Struthio camelus: one gene and its partner. The protein of the gene in region 1 interacts with the protein of each later gene in a pairwise test. Links are inferred from orthologs where the notes say so. Each region holds a gene or a part of one and is shown on either strand. Other genes may lie near its edges.

Evidence for each region.
Region 2: the proteins of ARHGEF11 (region 1) and PLXNB2 interact in a two-hybrid assay, tested with the Homo sapiens proteins (2 studies listed by BioGRID). The link is inferred for Struthio camelus from reciprocal best matches to the Homo sapiens genes ARHGEF11 and PLXNB2.

The regions. Positions count from the first base shown.
Region 1 is NC_090971.1:3,416,552-3,424,197, forward strand, and holds the start of ARHGEF11 (rho guanine nucleotide exchange factor 11), read left to right. Parts: upstream 1-4,645; 5' UTR 4,646-4,774; coding exon 4,775-4,809; intron 4,810-7,646. UniProt on the Homo sapiens protein: May play a role in the regulation of RhoA GTPase by guanine nucleotide-binding alpha-12 (GNA12) and alpha-13 (GNA13). Acts as guanine nucleotide exchange factor (GEF) for RhoA GTPase and may act as GTPase-activating protein (GAP) for GNA12 and GNA13.
Region 2 is NC_090942.1:23,249,687-23,257,340, forward strand, and holds the start of PLXNB2 (plexin-B2), read right to left. Parts: upstream 3,012-7,654; 5' UTR 2,890-3,011; intron 1-2,889.

The DNA.
Region 1 (7,646 bases):
GAGCGAGGATGCGCCGGTCCCCCGGAGGGACGGCGGCTGGGAGGCCCCGCAGCAGCACGGCATCGCCCCAAGGTGCTGGGTGCATCCCCCCGGGCACTGGGTGCATCTCCCCAACGTGTTGGGTGCATCTCCCCAACGTGCTGGGTGCATCTCACCAGGTGGGTGCATCCTCCCAGGCTCTGGGTGCATCCCCCTGGGGGGGGGGGGCATCCCCCCCAGGCATTGGGTGCATTCCCCCAGTGTGTTGGGTGCATCCGCCCAGGCTCTGGGTGCCTCCCCCCAACGTGTTGGGTGCATCCCCTGGGCACTGGGTTCATCCCCCCAGCATGTTGGGTGCATCCCTCCAAGAATTGGGTGCATCCCCCTGGGCACTGGGTGCATCCCCCCAATGTGTTGGGTGCATCTCCCCAGGCACTGGGTGCGTCCCCCAATGTGTTGGGTGCATCTCCTCAGGCACTGGGTGCATCCCCCCAATGTGTTGGGTGCATCTCCCCAGGCACTGGGTGCCTCCCCCCAATGTGTTGGGTGCCTCCCCTCAATGTGCTGGGTGCACCCCTCCAGGCACTGGGTGCATCACCCCAAGGCACTGGGTTCATCCCCCCAACATGGTGGGTGCATCCCCCTGGGCACTGGGTGCATCTCCCCAATGTGTTGGGTGCATCTCCCCAGGCATCGGGTGCATCTCACCAGGTGGGTGCATCCCCCCAGGCTCTGGGTGCATGCCCCTGGGCACTGGGTACATCCCCCCGGGGGGGCATCCCCCCCAGGCATTGGGTGCATTCCCCCAGTGTGTTGGGTGCATCCACCCAGGCTCTGGGTGCCTCCCCCCAACGTGTTGGGTGCATCTCCCCAGGCACTGGGTGCATCCCCCTGGGCACTGGGTGCCTCTCCCCAGGTGGGTGCATCCCCTCGGGCACTGGGTGCCTCCCCCCAACGTGTTGGGTGCATCCCCCTGGGCGCTGGGTACCTCCCCCCAATGTGTTGGGTGCATCCCCCCAATGTGTTGGGTGCACCCCCCCCCAGGCACTGGGTGCACCCCCCAGGCGCTAGGTGCGTCACCCCAAGGCACCGGGTGCATCCCCCTCGGCATTGGGTGCCTCCCCTTGGGCATTGGGTGCATCCCGCCAGGTGGGTGCATCCGCGGATGCCTCCAGCTGCCCGGAGAGCCGAGGTGGGGACAGCGGTGGCACCGGTGGCCGGCCTGCCCCGGGGCGTTTGCCACGCGCCCCTTTCCGACGAGAGGGTGACGGCGGCCTTGGGTGGACCCGGGAGGAGGGCCGGGGAGCCGCGCCGGGGTGGCGGCGGCGGTCGGCGGGTGCTGCTCCGCCGCCGGTCGCACAGCAGCACCCAGCGGCTGCGGTCGGGAGGGAGGGAGGCCGGGGCGCAGGCGAGGCCGAAGCCGGAGCGGGGCGGGAGGGAGGAGAAGGGCAGCGCGTCCCCCATGGCGCGGGGCAAGGGCGGGCGGGTGGGTGTGGGGGGGGGTCCCTTGGGTGCCCCCCCGGCTGCGACGCCCGGGGCTCTCGGTGAGGAAGAGGAGAAGCGGGACGGGGAGGAAGGCTACCGCCGGGGCGGCCGGAGGCCGCAGCCCCTCACCGGCGCGTCGGGGCGGGAATAAAAAGGAGGGGGGCTGAGGAGTTTCGGGGGCGGTGGGGGTCCGCAGGGGACCCTCGGGAGGAGCGGGGGCACCGCTGGGCCTGGGGGTGCAGGGATCCGGGGGGTTTCGGTGCGGCGGCGGGAGCAGGGGGGCACCGAGCTGCTCGGCCCCCCCGGAGAGCGGGGAGGGCAGCGCCCCCAGAGCCGGGCGCTGTCTATACATCCCCCCATACCCAGCTTGTGTCTATATGTCCCCTGTACTCAGCCTGGGTCTATATGTCCCCCCATACCCAGGTCATGTGTGGGTCCTCCTATACCCAGGCTGTATCTATATGTCCCCCCATACCCAGCCTGTGCCTATATATCCCCTCATACCTGGGTCATGTGTGGGTCCCCCCATAGCCGAGCTGTGGCTATACTTTCTCCCATACCCAGCCTGTGTCTATAGGTCCCCCATACCCGAGCTGTGTGTGGGTCCCCCCATAGCCAGGCTCTGTCTATACGGCCCCCCATACCCAGACAGTGTGTCGGTCCCCCCATATTCAGGCTCTGTCTATATGTCCCCCCATACCCGGGCTGTGTATGGGTCCTCCCATACTGAGGCTCTGTCTATACATCTCCTCATACTGGGCCATGTGTGGGTCACCCCATAGCTGGGCTCTGTCTATACGTCCCCCCATAACCGAGCTGTGTGTGGGTTCCCCCATAGCCAGGCTCTGTCTATATGTCCTCCCATACCCGGGCCATGTGTGGGTCCCCCTATAGCTGGGTTCTGTCTATACATCCCCCCAATGCCAGGCCGTGTGTCGGTCCCCCCATACCCAGCCTGTGCCTACATGTCCCCCCATACCCGGGCTGTATCTATACGTCCCCCCATACCCAGCCTGTGCCTATATGCCCCCCCATACCTGGGTCATGTGTGGGTCCCCCCATAGCCGAGCTGTGGCTATACTTTCCCCCATACCCAGGCCGTGTGTGCATCCCTCCACACCCAGCCTGTTTCTATAGGTCCCCCCATAGCCAGGCTCTGTCTATACATCCCCTCATACTCAGGCTGTGTGTCCGTCCCCCCATACCTGGACTCTATACGAGCCTCCATACCCAGCCCTTGTGTGTGTGTCCCCATACCGGGGCTCTGTCTATACGTGCCTCCCATACCCGGCCCTTGTGTGGGTTTCCCCACAGCTGGGCTCTGTCTATAGATGCCCCCATACCAGGGCCATGTGTGCGTTCCCCCATACCCAGCCTGTGTCTATACGTCCCCCCATACCCGGGCTGTGTGTAGGTCCCCCCACACCCAGTCTGTGTCTATAGGTCCCCTCATACCCAGCCTGTGTCTATATGTCCCCCCATACCGGGGCCCTGTGTGGGTCTCCCCACACCCAGCCTGTGTCTATAGGTCCCCCCACACCCAGGCCCTATGTGAGTCCCCCCACACCCAGACCGTGTCTATATGTCCCCCCATACCGGGGCTCTGTCTATACATCCCCCCACACCCAGGCCCTGTCTGGGTCCCCCCACATCCAGCCTCTGTCTATACGTCCCCCCATACTGGGGCTCTGTCTATACGTCCCCCCACACCCAGGCCCTGTCTGGGTCCCCCCATACCCAGCCTCTGTCTATACATCCCCCCATACCCGGGCTCTGTCTATAGGCCCCCCCATACCGGGGCTCTATCTATACATCCCCCCACACCCAGGCCCTGTCTGGGTCCCCCCACACCCAGCCTCTGTCTATACGTCCCCCCATACCGGGGCTCTGTCTATACGTCCCCCCACACCCAGGCCCTGTCTGGGTCCCCCCACACCCAGCCTCTGTCTATACGTCCCCCCATACCAGGGCTCTGTCTATAGGTCCCCCCAAACCGGGGCTCTATCTATACAGCCCCCCCCACCCAGCCTCTGTCTATACGTCCCCCCATACCGGGGCTCTGTCTATAGGTCCCCCCATACCCAGGCCCTGTCTGGGTCCCCCCACACCCAGCCTCTGTCTATACATCCCCCCATACCCAGGCCCTGTGTGGGTCCCCCCACACCCAGCCTCTGTCTATACGTCCCCCCATACCAGGGCTCTGTCTATACGTCCCCCCACACCCAGGCCCTGTCTGGGTCCCCCCACACCCAGCCTCTGTCTATACGTCCCCCCACACCCAGCCTCTGTCTATACGTCCCCCCATACCGGAGCTCTGTCTATAGGTCTCCCCATACCCAGGCCCTGTCTGGGTCCCCCCACACCCAGCCTCTGTCTATAGGTCCCCCCATACCGGGGCTCTGTCTATACGTCCCCCCACACCCAGCCTCTGTCTATACGCCCCCCCATACCGGGGCTCTATCTATACATCCCCCCACACCCAGCCTCTGTCTATACGTCCCCCCATACCGGGGCTCTATCTATACATCCCCCCACACCCAGGCCCTGTCTGGGTCCCCCCACACCCAGCCTCTGTCTATACGTCCCCCCATACCAGGGCTCTGTCTATACGTCCCCCCACACCCAGCCTCTGTCTATACGTCCCCCCATACCGGGGCCCTGTGCGGGCCCCCCCCCCAGCCCGGCCGCCCCACACCGGCCCTGCCTGCTGCCCCCCCGGTCGGCGGCGGCGGGGCCGGGCGAGGCCGGGGATCGGGAGCGGGGCTAGGCCGGGGCCGGGGCCGGGGCCGGGGTGAGGGCAGCCCGGCGGCGGCGGGGCCTCTCGGCGGCGGCTGTCAGCCGGGGCGCGGCGGAGGCGGGGGAGAGGGAGGAGGAGGAGGAGGAGGAGGGGGGGGGCTGCGCGCCGCCTCGCTGCCTCCCTTCTCCCCCCCTTCCTCCTCCTCCTCCTCCTCCTCCTGCTGCCGCCGCCGTGCGGGTCCGGCCGCCGGGGCCGGCGCGGAGAGCGCGGCGCGGAGCCGCCGCAGGCAGGATGTCGCCCGCGGGGCGGCCGGGCTGAGGGGCGGCGGCGGCGGCTCAAGATGGACCCGCGGCCGCCCGGCTCCTGAGCGCCGCCGAGGCACCGCGCCGCGGGGGGGGGGGGAGGGAGGGTGGGTGGGTTGGTTGCTTTTTATTATTTTTTTTCAGTTTGATTATTATTAATTTTTTTCTTTTTGGTGGCCGGGAGGAAAGGGGAGGGGGGGGGGTTGTTTTTTCGGAGAGGGGGCGGCTGCCCCCCGGCCTCGGGGACACGCCGGGGGCCGGCGCAGGAACCATGAGCGTGAGGCCTCCCCAGACGGCCCTCGACAGGTAGGTCCCGCCGGAAAGTGTGTGTGTGGTTTTAGGGGGGGGGGACACCCCCCCTCCCCAAACCACCCCTCAAACACCCCCCCCTCCCCTCGACGTGGGAGGGGGAGCCCTGCTCCACACCAAAAACCCGCCGTGGGGCTGGTGGTGGAGGGGGGGGGGGGCGCTGGGGCTGCGCTGCCCCACAGGCCTGGGGGGGGGGCGGCTGGGTTGGAGGGGGGGGGATTACATGCATTATTTTTTTAATTTCTTTTTTTTTTTTTCCAATTGCATTTCCCCCCCCCCCCTTTTTTTTTGTCCCCCTTTAGACTGGCTGCAGCCAGTCCGCTCCCTGTCTTGGGTTGCTTTTTTTTTTTTTCTTTCTCTCTCTCTTTTTTTTCTTTTTCTTTTTTTTTTTTTTTCCCCCCCCTTTTCCAGCCGTCCAACTTCCTGTATTTCCACCGCAGCGGGGCCTACTCGCCCGGCGGCTCCAGGCCGGGCAGCCGAGGGGGGCCCGAAACCCAGCGCCAGGCCTGGGCGGCCGGCCGGAAAAACTCGCCTGTCCTCGGAGGAATCCCTATTTGTTCATTATCCTTCGGACCCGCCGTAAAGCGGGGAGATTTGGGGGGGGGGGGGGGGAAATCTCCGCGCAGACCCGCCAGCTCGGCTTTGCTCCCGTTTGTCCCCTTTGCTATCCGCTTTTCGGGGTTTTTTCTCCTTTCTGTGCTTTCAAATCGCTGCCTGACCCGTAAGAGGGTGGGTTTTTTTATTATTATTTTTCCTTTTGGTTTTCTTAGCGGGGGGGGGGGATTGATCGTATAACGTCGTCCCTTTTCCGTAGCTGTTTTCCTTCTGGCACAGCTCGGCTCCCGGCTCGCCCGGGCACACCGGCACCGTGCTAGCAGGTGCTCGGCTTCCGGGCGCCGGGGGGGGGCTTACCGAGGGCCACCCACCGCCTTTGGGCTAGAGCCTTTCCCCCCCCCGGGGGGGGGGGGGCGGAGGGTCTCCGCAGAGCGGCGTTTACCCGCAGAGGAAGAGGGAGGTGAGAAATAAAACCCCGCGGGAAGGAGCCGGTAAGGTCCCTGGCGCTCCTGCGGCGCAGATAAGGCGTCAGCCGTTCCCCCCCCCCCACCCCGGCTTGGGTAGGAGGCTGTGATTTATTTTATTTATTTATTTATTTATTTATTTCCTTTTTTTTTTTTAATTATTATTTTTTGCAAGGATCTGGGCACTCTCCAAACCGGCAGCGGAGCCCGTGCCCTCTGGGTTATTTATGAAGCCTAGCGCAGGGCGCTCGGTGCGCCGCAGCGGTGGTGCCGGCGGCCGCTTGCGGCAGCGCCAATCCGGACGGCGCTGCGATTCGTTGCCGAGGCTGGGGGGGCTCCTAAAACCGTCGTGATCTTTTGCTGTCGGCTCGAGCGATGCAGGGCCGAGCCACTCCCTTTTAAGGCCAACATGGATCTCGCTTAGCTGTCTTAAAACCCCTGCTCAGCCGGAGGGTGCAGATTGTATTTGGCACTCCTCGTTAGCGTGGTATGTAGGTTCTCCAGGTAATTGGAGCTCTCTGCTGGGTGTTGGTCCCCTTGGGCGAGCGGTAGCGTGGATGCGCCGCAGCGGATGCCGCGGCGGTGCAGGTGAGGAACGCGCTACCTGCGCTTACAGGTTAAAATCCCGGCATAATCAGCCCAGACTATCAACCCTTTTTAACTGACGGATCGTCTGACGTATTTGAAGAAACAATCTGTGCGCTTTCATGGCTGCGGGAAGGGAGGGCGGGCGGTGCGTGAAATCAGCATTTGAGTCAACACAAATTTCTTGTCCGAAACATTAATTTTGCTGTTAAAATTGCAAGCGCTCTAACTGGCAGCAGGGTCAGGAGCAAACCCGCCAACCGGGCGCGCATGGTGTAGCGAGGGCTGCCGCCGTCCTGCAGGCGGGCATCTGGGATCATATGGCTCCCCCGTATATCTTGGGGAGTCACGTCTTCGCTAGCAGGGCCGCTGGCCGGGAAATTTTGCAGGTTTTAAGCTTTGGGTTCTCGCTGTCGTGAAGGTCGTGTCCTGCGTGCGACCCTTCTGTGGAGTCGTCCCTAAGCAAATCACTCCGGAGCTGAGGCCGTTCCTCCGAAACGGTCGCGTGAGCAACGCCGGACGAGCTGCAGGTATCGAGCAAGCAGCGCCGCGCCGATCCCCTGGCGATACCGGATGGAAGCGCGTTGGGCTCGCGCGCGGGGAAACGTGAGCGGCGGCGTAAGGCGCTGGGATGTTTCTAGGGAGAGCCAGAGGAGGAACCGTTGCGGGAACCCTCTGGATGCAAAGAGCCGCGGTGGGATGCAGCCGGGGAGTCCCGGCTGGGTTCGGAGGGACATCGTTTGCTGCTCCCGGCTGGGAAACCAGAGACCTGGCTTCCAAATCCAGAGGGATTTCTGGCCTGTCTTCTCCCAGCTGGCAGACTGTACCGCTCAAGGGTAAGAACGGGGTCTGCCCAATGTAGGTATTTTCACTGGCAGGTGCAGCTGAGGTTGAAACTAGCCTGTGGAATGATGTTTTCTTATTAATTCCGTCTGACAGAATAGATGCAAACTGCCTGCGGCTGAGGCCGGCTCTCCCTGCCTATCTGAATCTCTTGGTAGCTCGAATCTGGAAGAGGAGCCGTTGCTTGTGCAGTAGCTCCCCTAGGATCAAACCTTGGTACCTGACGTTAGCCCTAAGCACGCCGATTATTGCCCTGGGATTTCTAAGAGCTTCCCAGAGGTAGGTTCGGGTTGACGACCTCGGGCAAGGAAGCGTGTGGCATGGACAGCAATGCCGTGAACGTCAGAAAGGAGACCCTGAATCACAGGTCTTGCTGCTTCCCAAAGA
Region 2 (7,654 bases), on another chromosome or scaffold:
TACAAAGCAAGGCTTGGCTAAAAGAAAAAACATATTGTTCACTTGTTAACTCCCAGAATGCTTCGGGGGGGGGGGGGGGGGAGATTGCTCAGGTGGACTGCTTGCTACACTCCTCCGAAACACAGAAAATTGGTTGCTATGATGAAACCATCAGGAATGTTATACAATCGCTTCTTGTGCAGAGCTGCCTCCCCACTCTCCATACTCATCAATACAGAGGTAGTTCATTTCAGTCACCACTAACATTTGCTAGGAAAACGCCATTTCAAAAAAAGATAGGTGCTTGAGGGCTTCAATTCACGATTGCAGCTGGATTTAGCTGACCCCAGCTGTTTTCCTTGTCTCTCTGCCAGAAGAGAGGGACAAACAGGATGTTCATGCTACTGGACTTTACAACATTATGTGCTAACGTGAACAGCCATAAAATACAGTTTACAATAACATGCCAGGCTGTAAACTCTGGCAGCTGAAAAGTGGATTCAAACTCCAATAGCAAACGTAGCTGAATGGCAAAGTAACCTCTGGCAAAGGGACAGGATGAACAGCTGGATGATTCAGCTACTGGAACATAACTCAGAGTCATGAGTGTTTTTATTATGTTATCCTTCCCATATTTAAAAACCTGGAGTATCAGAGAGGTCTGGATGTCTCCTCCCTCCCCCCACCCAAACTGTAATAGATTATCAAGGGCATTGAAAGCTTCAGGTGAGTGTTTTGAGGTTTATTTTATTAGAGTACAGCATCACCTTTTGGTAGGCTGATATCAGCTTCTTCCAGTCATATCAGATCATTTAAAAAGATCTGCTACACAGCTTTTATCATCAGAATTCTCCATTCAAAGTCTTTTTCCAAACACTGCCATCACTTACTTACTGTACTGGTTTGAATAATATTTTCTAGTGGAGATGATTTTCCAGTTCACATTCAATCATATTAGGTTCCCACCAGGGCTTCAGAACCACAAATATTTAAAAGCAATGAGGTGAAGCCACTAGAGCCTCGGAAGCAGACTTCCTCCCTTTTGTTTTGGCTGGAAGCATGCTCTGCTCTGGCTTTCCCACTCCAGCCAGCAGTCCCATACCAAGTGTACAAAATCCTGTCTCACAAGCCAAGAGGCAAGCAGAGCGTTAAGGGACGGCCCAACACATACACACAATCATGCTCCCTAGCTCACAGCTAATGGGTCACCCAGCTGTTTTGTGTAGGGCATGGTACACAGCCCTGCTCCTGCAGGGCCAGTGATGTATTTCACATGCTGAAAGGGAAGGAAAGAATTTTCAGTCCAGCTTTGAGTCTGATAACCTTAAAGAAACTGCAAAGAAAGCTCAGGCCAATTGTAGCTAGCAACCTATTACTTACTGTCCGTAGCTTCCTTTTAGATTCCATTGTATTGAAGACATAAATAATAAAATAAGCACATATCTCTCTTGAATGAATTACCTATTCAGAGTTCCCTCTGGTGTTCAGTAAGTTAAACAACCCTCACATTCAAGGTAACAATATTAGTTACAAAAGCATTAAGTTCCCTCACAAGCAAGTTTTCATTCTCTGACCGGAGCTCAGCAGTCAGGATAGGTCTGTAGCATCGTAATACACAGACCACAAAGGCAATGCTACCGATCGCGAGACTGCAGAGGCACAATAAACTTACAGCTCGTTTTTGTATCTTCACACAAGTGTCTGACTAACTCTCAAGGACCCAGACAATTCCCTCCAACCCTTTCTGTTTTAGGGTGTCACAGAGACTGACGCAACCTCAGAGAAGATAAAGTCACAAAGTCGCAGGTACAGCCCAGGCAGGCAGAGGAGGGCAGAGGTGTTTTGCAGCTCTCGAATAACTACGCTTTGAGTCACGAGCGCTCTGGCCTCGCAGTGCCATTCGCCTGCACCAAACACGAGCAAAGTACAGTATAGCTAATCGACAGCTTGGAAAGAAAGTTTAAAGTTGCGTTGCCTGTCTAGAGAGACAAAAGGCATTTGCAGGAAAGCCCAACTTCGTGCCTGAGCCAGAGCCCGCGCGGACCGGGCGAGCCGCAGAGCGGGGCTCGCCACCCCGCCGGGATGCGGCGGGCATGAAGCTCCCGAGAGCAGCAACGGGGCTGCACGGCCGGGGCCGCGCTGCAGCCGAGGGGACCGAGCCCCGCCGGGCACCGACGCCCCCGCTCCCGGGGGAGGAGCCGCCCGCGGAGCCGCCGCGCAGCCGCGGGGCAGAGCCGCGCCTCCTCCCAGCGCTGCGCGGCTGGTTAGGAACCGCGCTCGAAGTGCGGAGCCGCGGGTTAATCAAAGCCATATGGGGCGCGGAGGAAAGCCCCGTCCGCGCCGTCCCCGCTCCGCCCTGCCCCGCGGCCGCTCCGCGGCCACCGAGGAGGGGGAGCGGCTCGACCCGCGGCTCAGCAGCCTGGCGGCGCGGAGAAGAGGAGGGACGGAGCCGCGCAAGCCACCCCGCGGCCCCGGCCCGCCGCGCGCAGCCGCAGGGAGGGGGCCGCGTTACCTTCAACAGGTGTCGGCGCCGGCAGGAGCGCTCCCCGCGGGCGCGGACCGTCGGAGCCGGCCAGGCGGAGCGGCCGCGCCGCGCCCCGCGGGTCCGGCCGCGCAGGGCAGCGCGGAGCGGGCGGCGGCAGCGCGCTCGGCCGAGGCGCCCGGCGCTACGGCAGCCCCCGGCCGCTGCCCATGCCCCGGCCACAGCAGCAGCCGCGCTCGAGTCCTCCGAGAGGAAGGAGGAGAGAGGGAGAGAGGAAGGGGAGGAAGAGAGAGAGAGAGAGAGAGGAGAGAGAAACCGCCCCGAGAGAAATCACTCATCACATGACGATCGCGATCCGCCGCCGCCGCCCCCCGACAGCCCGAGCCTACGCCGGGGAGCCAGAGAAAAGCTGCGAGGAGGGGACACACCTGTAGGCGCAGCACATATCCGCTGTGAGCACAATGCGAGACAGGAAACTGAAAAAAACAGCCCAGGGAAGGAGAGAGGCTCCCGTTCGTCCCTCCTTCCCTCCCTCCCTCCGTCCTCCTCCTCCGCCTCTCTCCACCCCCTGCCCCTGGTCAGGATCCGCTTGCCGCGCTGTCTCCTGCAGCGAAAACCAGACAGCGCCAGGAGGAGGAACGAGCCGCACTTTCTCTCCCTTCCCGTCTCCGCATTGTTTTGCCCGCCGGCCGGGCAGAGGCGGCGCGGCCGCGGAGGGGCCGAGCGCTCCCGCGGAGCCCCGAGCGCGGAGGGGGCGGGGGGGGCGGCCCTCCTCCCCGCCGCGTCGCGGAGCGCAGTGCAGCCCCGCCGCGCCGGGCTGCTTTGCCCTGCCCTGCCCCGCCGCCTCTTCCCTGCGCCTCCGCGTAACCCTCGTCCGCGCTGCTGGCGCGGAGCGCAGCGACGGCGCCGAAACGGGCCGGCCCCGGCCTGCGCGGCGCTTTCCGGCGGGGCAGGGCGGCCCGGGCAGCGGAGACCGCTTGGAAAGGGTCTCTGTGTTTTTCCGTAGTTAAAGGCGTTGGGGTACGTCGCCTGCTCCGGTGGTGGTTTGGCGAAGCTCCTGAGTAGAACAGACCCATTTCCACTCCTCCTCCTCCTCCTCCTCCTCCTCCTCCTCCTCCTCCTCCTCCTCCTCTGAGCAGCGAGACAGGAACTCCAGGGCTCCCGAGTTCGCCTCTCCTGCTGCATACCTTGTCCTGTCGTTGAGGAGCCCAAAATACATCCCCGGCACAATTGTTAGTGAACTTAAAATAGTACAGCGTGTATCCTTTTCGGTTAAACTCTTCCTATAATCTCTGTTTCCAAAGGTCTTTTTTCCCCTTCTCAAGCACACTGCTACTAGAGAATGTGCAAATTTCTCCTTTTCCTCCAGGAATGTGCAAACTGGAGCTTTCTACCCCACCTGTGTGCAAAACCACATGATCTCCACATTTAGATATCCCATTTGTCTTGACTATAATTAACATAGGGATTACCTTTTAAAAAGGGGGATATTTTAGAAGAATGGCTCAAGTGGCCTTTCGGCAAATTGTTTAGGCTTTAGAGCTTTCTGTCCCTCAAACATGGACCAGCAATGCGGCAAAGAGTATTTAATTAAGCTGCTGTTGGCACTTCGAGTACAGTTCTGTCAAACAATCTGTGTGTTAGGCTTCTCACTGAAGTGATAAGAGAGAGAGTCAGAAAGCCACAGTTCTCAAATGGCACCTGCAAGTTCCTGAAAAATTGTCCCTGTTTCTCAGAAAAATTGTCCCTGTTTCTCAGAACAAAAACAAACTCCAAATAAATAAAAATCAGCTCAGAAGCCTGGGCAAGAGTAAAAAGTGACAGGCTCTTCAATGAGATGTTAAATGTGGCTTTCAGGCCTTCTCCATGAAAGTGCAGCCTCCCTCTAACTGCAGGCTAGAGCCGTTCAAACATTATGTGGTGTTTTGTTGGGTTTTGCCTTTAGGAGGCAGACTTTCTACTGGTTCAGGTTTCATGAACCTGCTCCACGCTTTTTGCTGACCTCCAGGAGCAGGCCCTCATCCTTCTTTGGCTTTTTTCCTGCTCTTTACCTGACAGGGTAAGGAAGTCTTTCTCACCGCACAGTGAGAAAGAACTGCTCTGGCATAGTTCTGGAGTATTTTCGCATTCTGGGACAGAAAAACTGGATCCCCCCCACCTGTTAAGTTTCATCAGGAAAGAAGGGGAACTTGAAGAGAAGGGAGATGAGACTTCCTTAGGAAAATTGGGTTAGTCCTGTCCTGCAAGCTCTGGGAGGGATCCAGGACAGAGGAGCTCACAGGCTGCTAATGGGCTCAGTAGGACCTCACTTTCCAGGCTGCTTTTTCAACTTCTGGGCATATAGCCAGATTGAGCCCAAACTTTTGGCAGAATGCCCTGGACTTACCGGCCAGGCATCTCTCCCTATGCTCCAGCCTGTGAATCCCTGCCTCCGGGCATGCTCTGTCCCAGGGGCTTTTGCTGGTGGCTCTGGCATTTGTCACCCCCCACCCGTCCTGCTCCAGAGCTCTTGACCTGCTCACCCTACAGTGAGGGGTGCGCCCAGTACTGGGCCCACACCTGCTCCATCCAGTGGCCACTGACCAGGACGACACTGCTTGCCACACTGCTGCTGCCTCATGGTGGGTGCCCCAGCTCTAAGCCTAACCCCCCTGCCACTCCACATGGCTTCCTCCGGCTGGAATGCTTCCCTCTGGCTCCTGTTGCTGTGGCCTCATGACAGCCATTTCTTTAGAAACCTTTCTAGGTTTCTAGACAGACACACACAGACACAGCAATGGTGACAGTTCATTTAATTCAGAAGAGGAGCTGGTGAAGTGAGGCCATGCTGAATCTTCATCTCCTAATTACCTGTGGTGCGTTTGACCTTGCCTACTGTGACAGGGACTGTAAAGTTAACTAGAGCTCAAGATGGCCATATAGTATCCCATCCTAGGGTAGCTATCTATCTGCTCTGCTAAGTCTCCATAAGTTGCCTTTCTGCTAGGCATGTGTGGGTGTGCTAAAGCATGGCATATCAGCCCTTGTTCCCCTCAGCTGGGACCCAAACATATGCAGGATAACTTTTGTTATCCTAGGCTGAAATGAATCAGTGCAACGTCATCCAGCATGCGGCCTGCCTACGAAGGTGCAAAGTGTTCACAAGATGCTATTCTGCCTCCCATGGGTCCTTCATTGCCTTGGAGCCAGCACATCATCCTTCTCTAAGTGTAGCAAGGCATTCAGCAAGCATGCAGCTTGCTCAGTTCCCTAAATGCAAAGTATGTGATACAGAGAGATAACTCCCCAGTGAACTCAGATAAACAGCTGCACATCAAAAACTGCTATTTGCTATTAAAGGATTGTTCCCCCACTCCTTATCACCCTACTCATCAAAAAAAAAAAATCGTAAACACACAGTTGCTTGGAAAAGAGCAACAAGTAAATGATAGAGTGATTAACAGCTTCCTAGAATCTCAAAGATCTTAACTGTCACTCTGCACTTCCACATGCGCAGTGTGCTGATTAAGGGTGAAAGCCTTCTTCTGTTGCTTTCCATTGTAGGGACAGAGATAATGGAACTGCCTGTGAATAGGACTCTGGTCCAGATTTCAATTTCCTATTTATTTCCTCCTTCCCCGCTCCCTCTTTCTCTCCTCACCTTGTTATCACCTACTCATTGCTATGCATGCCCTTCTGTTTTTTTCTCTGCCTATTAATATCTTTCATATCTCAGACAATGTTTGTGCGTTGTTCCTGCTTCCTTTCCCAGCTCTGTCAATTCTCACAATTTTAGCTAAGGCAGGGTAATGTGCAGTATCATTCCTATGGCCAAGACCTTTGAGGCCTATAAAAAGATCAGAATTTCCAGCTGTCATTATTAAAAGCACCTTGTTCCGCGAACAACAGAACTAATGAAGCCCGGATTCCTGTGGGTTCCTGGCTGACTCACTCACCGCTATAACCTTTCCTTCCCTTCTCTCTTTCATGCTCTGTGTGACATCTCTTCTAGGTTGGTGCGAGGCAGTGCTTGCTGGTGCCGAGCCACGTGCGTGTTGGTGGCCTGCCTGCACCTAGGTGGCCACTGGCTGCTGCCAGACAGCAGCTGAGTTCTTCCTGCCTTTCTCTCTTTTGGAAAACTAATTTGAGTCTGTAGTCACTGATATTCACAACCCCCTGGGAACTTAATTATCTTTGAGACTTCTACCTCTTTCATTCATTTGATTGCAACCAGCCAATATCTTGTGACGTTTTTATGGGGGGCTGATGGGCAGATAAACAACCAGATGATTGATTACCAGCCTTTAGAAAGTAAGGTTGTTGCCTTGTGGTCATGGCGATAACCTAAGAAAAACTTAAGTGGCTAAAAAACAACTTCAGGTCTTTTAAAATGATTAAAATAGCACTTTTTGTGTACAGAAAATTTTGATTGTCCTTGTATTCCCAGATGTCAGAGCATCCTTAATACATTACTTTAGGAGCTCTCTCATCACTGCTCTCTGTGGAGGCTTGGGGAGGGGCAGAAGAAGCGAGAGGCTTCCCTCCTCACATGAGGAAATTATTTTCTCCATGCAGGAGGAAAGACTTCCTCCCTTGACTCAGGAAAAGTTCCTGACCCTGTGTAAAGGGGTTTGCGTCCTTCTTTTTCTCCATATGGGAATCGATAGTCAGAGCTTTGTGTTGGTGGGCAGTAAATTAAGCTGGATAAAATTCCCTGACTCCAAACTGTTTTGCCTGTGGCACGGGAGCTCGGAGGCGCTTCTCTCTTGGGCCCAGGGAGGCTGCGGGCTCCCAGAACCGAACCCAGGCTGAAAAGGGAGAGCGTCCCCCTGGGGGGGGTTGGCCCAGCACAAGCCCCTTTGGCACGTAAGAGACGAGGAGGCAATGGCACGGGCACTTTCCCCCACGGAGAGGAGAAAATCCTAGAGAGCAAGAGAGGCCCACCTCCGCCTCCTGCCTCCCGCCAGTCCCCCAGAAGAGGGACTCATCTTGGCCTCCCTTTCTCCCACGCACAGCATGGCCTCAGCTGCTGGGGCGCCAGCACGAAGGAGCAAACAGCCCCCAGGAGTGCCGAGACTTGTGTCTGACACCTGAACGGGAGGGTGGGGAAAGTGCCCGTGACTTCTGGCTGAGTCTCACCCTTCAAAGACTGAGCTGGAGACCCCGGGCCCAACTCAGCCCTGGCAGGGGAGCTGGGCTGTTGACCCCCGTCGG